Oryctolagus cuniculus: one gene and its partner. The protein of the gene in region 2 interacts with the protein of the main gene of each other region in a pairwise test. Links are inferred from orthologs where the notes say so. Each region holds a gene or a part of one and is shown on either strand. Other genes may lie near its edges.

Region 1 (2,497 bases), on a different chromosome or scaffold from region 2:
GAATAGAGAATGAATGTGGCGCGCGAGAAACGCGGCTGCCCTGCGAATGGCTCTGCCGTGGCAGCGAGGCCCGAGGGACGGCGACTGCGGCGCTGCCTCCCACGGCCTCCCAGCCGCATTCCGCAGGGCAGGCGCTGCGAGCGGGGCGCCCGCTGGCCACTGCCCTTTCTCACAAGCCGGGGCGGGGCTGGCACGCGGGGCCCTGTTCCCCATTCCCCATTCCCCAGGGCAGGCGCTGCGAGCGGGGCTCCCTAGATGTCCTGCTGTGGCTTCAGCCCGACTCCGTCTGAAGGATGGGGCTGGGACCTCCCCAGGCCAGATGCTCCTGACCCCGTGGCCACCGCCAGCCCCGCCAGCCCCGCCAGCGCGCCGTCCGTCTCCACCCAGGCCGCTGACCCCTTCTGTTCCGCACCGAAAGGGGAACCCAGGCGGATGGTCGTCGTGAGGGCCCGGGCCCGGGACACCTGGCCGAGCCGGGCGCTGCCAGGCGCGGGGGACGGTCACTGGCAGCACTCGGCCACGTGCCCGAGGAGCTCTTCGCCCTGCTCGTCGCCGAAGCACCGCAGGCAGTGAGGGCACTGCAGGGCCCCCTGGGCTCCCTGGGCTGCGCGGGGGCCTCTGCCCTCTGCACGGGGCTCCAGCTGCTGGGGCCCAGGCCCAGGCCGCCAGCCAGTGCGCGCCGCGAGCTCCGGCGCGTCAGTCTCTAGGCAGGGGCCCGGCTCCCGGTCCTGCGGAAGGCAGGGGTGTGGTGACACGGGGCTTCCTGCTGTGCCGCAGGGCCCGCCGACAGATGAAGACACAGAGAGCGCCGTGAGTGACCACGCAGACCACGCGCGTGCCCTCCCGTGCTCCCTGCACTTACAGTGGAAAGCAGGCCCGACTGGACCCATGAGCCCCAAGAAACCCAACTGGCAGGCAGCCTTGGCGACATGCCCCAGCCGCCACCACGGGTCGGGGGTGGCGGAGCTCTGGGTGGGACCACACGGACTACGCCCCAGCCCTCAGCACCACGCCCTGGGGCTTGGGGGCCTCCAGTGGCAGCAGGGGGAGCCCCTGGCTCAGCCTTGTCGGCCACGCAGCACCACCTTGCTCCAAACACCTGTCGTGGAGCCCTGTGGCCAGCGGCTTCAGTGTGCCCCCTCCCGTCTGAAACTGGCTTTGCCTCAGTGGCAGGACGGCCTGTCGCCCGAGCCTGTCGCCCACGCCTGTCGCTGAGCCTGTCACCCACGCCTGTCGCTGAGCCTGTCACCCACGCCTGTCACCCACACCTGTCGCCCGAGCTTGTCGCCCACGTCTGTCGCTGAGCCTGTCACCCACGCCTGTCGCCGAGCCTGTCACCCACGCCTGTCGCTGAGCCTGTCGCTGAGCCTGTCGCCCACGCCTGTCGCTGAGCCTGTCGCTGAGCCTGTCGCCCACGCCTGTCGCTGAGCCTGTCACCCACACCTGTCGCCCACGTCTGTCGCCCGAGCCTGTCACCCACACCTGTCGCCGAGCCTGTCACCCACGCCTGTCGCTGAGCCTGTCGCTGAGCCTGTCGCCCACGCCTGTCGCTGAGCCTGTCGCCCACGCCTGTCGCCCACGCCTGTCACCCACGCCTGTCACCCACGCCTGTCGCCCACGCCTGTCGCCCACGCCTGCGCACTGCCACTGACCAACAGCGAGTGCTCCCAACGCCGCCACCAGGGATTCTGCCCGTGGGGCCACCTCAGGAACCCAGGCCTGCGGCCTGCGGCTGGTTCTGGTGGCTCCTGGGGGCCCCGCCCCTGAGAGGCTGCCTGAGCCCGCCCTCAGGACCACAGCCTTGGTGGCTCCTCAGCCCGTCACACGCTCCCTCAAATCCCTCGAGGCCGGAAACCCACAGGCAAAACCAAGTCCCAGGAAAACCTCCTGTTCCTGCCCAGGGTGCGTGCTGGGGGAGCTGTCCTGGCCGGCAGCCCCAGGGCCTCGGGGAAGCAGGAACTGGGGTGTGAGGGGCCACCCGCATACCCAGGCTCCATCCAGCGATGCCAAGGAAGCCGCCAGGGCTGGGCCGGCAAAGCCTCTGGCACCTCCCTGTCACCTGTGGACTCAGGGGGGAACACAGGCCCTGCCGCGACCCCTCCCCCCGTCATGCACAGAAGAAATGGCCCCTGACGAAGACTCAGCCCAAGGGTGTCCACCGTGACTCTCCTACGCCCATGCACGGGGGATGGGAAGCGGAAGCTACCCATGAGGCCCAGGGGCTGCTCGGGACAGACCAGAGCTGGAGGCCCCACACACCCAGCTGGGAGGGCTCCGCGTCCGCGCTCCGGCCCCGGGTGCGCCGCCTCCCAGAGGCGGTCCAGTCCACGTGAGCACAGGAAGTTTACTCCAGGCCGGGGCTGTACCAGAAACTCGCTAAGTGGCCAAAGGAACGAACCTCCCCTGGGGTTTCTGCAGTGTGGACGGGCAGGTCGGCACCACAGGTCACACCGCCAGAGACCTCGCCAGTCCTGACTTACGCCGGCCCCTCTCCAGG
Region 2 (3,500 bases):
CTTTCATGGATAGGGTTTTCAAGAGCAATATGGCTCTTGACAAGCAGACTTTCTTAACAATGAAAGACATGTTCCTTGGGGAATGAAGTCCCAGGAAGACCATCTGTTCTTCCACTCCTGAAGCTCCGGCTTCCTCAGGAGCCACCATCAGGCAGACAGCACAGCACTCACCTGCCAGCTGGCGGCCATATCCAGAGGAGTGGTTCCAGGCACAACTCCTTCATCCTCTCCAGCCGTCTCCCAAGAGTCGTCCAAGTCGTAGAGAGGCTCAAAGTTCTCCACCAGGGGATCTGCTCCTGTGAAGACGCATTACACAGCAGTAGGTAAACCCAGGTCTTGCCAACTTCAGCTGCTTGCAGGGGTCAGATTTCCAAAGGCAAAGCACGGTAGCTGCTACAGGCAATTACCTGGTTAATTTTTAATGCATAAAGTATGTTTCCACTGAAGTTCTTTTTAAATTTTAATTTACTTTGACTACAAAGGTGTCTCATGACACCCTATATAGCAAAGGATACCATGGAAAACACAAGACTTTGAATACTCTTCCACATTTAACCACTGGGCATTTTCCAACTGAACGGCACATCCTTGATCTGAGCCTAATGGACAGCAGTTGACGGGGATGGCGGTGCACCCTCAGGACTGAAGTCTTAACTGTTCGAACTTATGCTTGCCAGGGCACATTTTTCAGCCTCTGCTCTCACTCAAACAAAAGATCTAAGACGCTTCAGGTTTTATGACAGCATGGTCAATTTTATTCCTGTGTACAGCACTGGCAGAGCTCTGATCTTGAAACAAAAAGCACCAAGAAAACCTCCTGCTAGGGTGTGTAGTAACTGAAAATTTTGGGGCTAATGAATCTTGGGAAATCTAGTCTGTTCTTTAGCTTCTGGCAAGAAATCACCCAAAATAACTCAAAGGTTAGAGCAAGAGTTACTTTTCAAAGGCAGACAGTATTTTTATGAGAACATGTTTCGTTTGATGTCTAATGAACAGTAGTAGGCTCAGCATACTGTGTCGGGAGAGGGAGCCTGTTTGTATTTTGCTGGGAGATTATCTGATTGGGACTAACTTCAGTAGTAAGAGAGGGCCTAATGAGGGCCTGATGAGAGTCACTGAACGATATGCCTGCTATTTCTCGATGTCATTCTCCCAGTCCTGACCATGAAAGGAATGGAGAAACAAAGATAAACAGTTTAAAAGGCTGAGAAACAGAGGAGCTGAGCCGTGTCTGTTCCTGATGCGACCTTCGTCATGACTTTGAGCTCAGAACTAGGCTTTTAGCTGAGTTTATTTTCATCAGAAGAACTGCTACTTGCTACTCCTTTAATAGGAGTCTGAGTATGCAAGAGAGGGCAGTGTTGAAGGCAAGATAACTCTACTTGTTTGAAGGCATTTCTTAATCATAATCAGTGGCTTCTAAAATTATTCATGAACATGCTGCAAAGTCTCTTACTCAAGAAAAAGTTCAACTTGACAAAGGAAAAGGCTGGTGCTTATCTGGGATATGATCTTACATGTCAGAAAATTGTGTGCTTCCAAAGAAATGGTTCCTATACCTTCAAGATGGTACTTTAACCTGCTCTGTTTCCTTGAAGTAATTTAACACCCTCTAAAAATTTTTAATAACCCCTGAGGTTATGTTAGGGCAGCTTGAAGTACAGATTTCAATATTGTTTAAGGTTCTAAATGTGGAGTCCAAGATGACTGGGAATAATGTCTATACTTCACAGCACAAGAGGATGCACTAGAATAACCCAGGAACGAAGCAGGGAGAGGAACAGAGGAGAGAAGATGAAATCTGGAAATTCAGACTGCGGAAGCATGACTTACACTCTGCCACGCATTGGGACAAAGGGCATGAGACCCGGCCAGCCATGCTGGTCTTGTCTCCTTGGCTGTTAAGATGGGCATCACTGCAAAGGTTACTGTGGATTAACCGAGCAAATGCCTGGCCCACAATAAGGTCCACAAACAGCAGCAACGGTTAGTGCCTCGCACATGGTTATGCCTTCTCCTACTCTGAAGGAAGTCTTTGACTTCTCCTGAGGACCTCTGACATGATCTGAGACTGGTGCTGCTCAGAATGCTTAAGTAACTAAACTCTGCTTTAGGAAGATCCTTTGTCAAGAGAGTTAATCTAAATAGCCCAAACCAAAACAAACAGATGAATCAGAGAGTATCAACTGGCATGAGGATCGGGGAGAAGCCAGGATTACTAGTTCAAACAGTGTCTCTATTGCAGTTAAAATGTGATCAGCCACAGAATTTTTATTTACCTGTGCTTTTCTGTGGCTTTGCTGGAGCTGGGTTTGAATTTCGGAACACATTTTCCATCAGCGACCACCAGGCCTTCTTACCTGCTGCTTTGAGAAGAGCTGCCAGTCTGGTGGATCCTCTCCCAGCCGCTATATGCAGGGGTGTAGTTCCATCGTAGGTGGTACTGTCCACGTGGGCATCGCCCTAAAATCCGGCCCACACAGGAACAGGCTTAGCGAAAGGTTCTCTCAGCCTTTTGTCCCCACCTCCTCCTGTGGGCATGGCCCCTGCGGTCTTATCTACTAGCCCAGTCACTGCTCTGGGCTGGCTCTGCCAATGAGGTCATCTCCAGTTAGAGATGCTGGGGTTGGGGGAATGCCTAAAGGTGCTACTCTGAAAGCTTGCACAGATGTTAAATCAGTAAAGCTGAATATAGTCAGAGAATTGTTAGCTGACTTCATTGTTTTAAAGGATCCCTGAGTCTCCCCTGGGAGATAAGTTTGTTCTTCACCTCCAGGAGCAAGCAGCCGGCCAAGGAGATGTTGTCATGTTCCACAGCTAGGTGCAGTGCCGTGCGCCCCGACTTCTGCTCCTGGGCATTGACATCCGCCCCAGCGGCCACCAGCAGCAGCAGGCACGGCAGGCTATTGCTCAACACGGCTAGGTGGATGGCATTCAGACCTAGGGCCCAAGCAGAAGGAAGTGGCAAAACTGGATCGATCACAGGGACAGAGGCTGCCTGTCAGCTCTGCAGACACTATAGGTGTATTGTTCTGCCCTGCAAGCCATAGGCTCCAACTGTGTTCTCAGGAGCCATTGAGAGTACATAAACAGGAGTGGAATCAGTGCCGCTTCACAGACTTCAAGATAAGTGTTTGCTCAGGATTCTGCCTTTTCTTCCTACTCACTCCTCCAAATTAAAGGAATTAGTTACAGTGAGCTGAGTGAAAAGGAATACCACAAGAGACAATGAGCTCCAGGTGCCTAAGGAAAGCCCTCTGGGCACAAATCAAGTTAACACACGTATTGAATCCCTGGTAATTAGAAAGCTAAGAGAGGAGGTTATACCAGCACTGCATGCTTGTCTCTTACCTTCCCCATTGGGATGGTCAATAAGTAGTGGTGCCTTTTTGTGCTTGAGTAAGACACTGAGAATTTGGTCTTGTCCTTCTTTGGCAGCTAGGTGCAAAACAGAGTTGCCCAAGCGGTCCAAAAGACTCAGGTCTGCCCCAGCTCGCAGC

Evidence for each region. The genes of interacting proteins can lie anywhere in the genome.
Region 1: the proteins of NFKB1 (region 2) and TNIP2 interact in binary tests that used the Homo sapiens proteins (3 or more experiments, as listed by UniProt). The link is inferred for Oryctolagus cuniculus from reciprocal best matches to the Homo sapiens genes NFKB1 and TNIP2.

What each region holds. Positions count from the first base shown.
Region 1 is NC_091433.1:1,473,574-1,476,070, forward strand, and holds the end of TNIP2 (TNFAIP3-interacting protein 2), read right to left. Parts: intron 729-2,497; coding exon 501-728; downstream 1-500. UniProt on the Homo sapiens protein: Inhibits NF-kappa-B activation by blocking the interaction of RIPK1 with its downstream effector NEMO/IKBKG.
Region 2 is NC_091439.1:62,591,809-62,595,308, forward strand, and holds part of NFKB1 (nuclear factor NF-kappa-B p105 subunit), read right to left. Parts: coding exon 3,352-3,500; intron 2,941-3,351; coding exon 2,771-2,940; intron 2,464-2,770; coding exon 2,361-2,463; intron 297-2,360; coding exon 172-296; intron 1-171.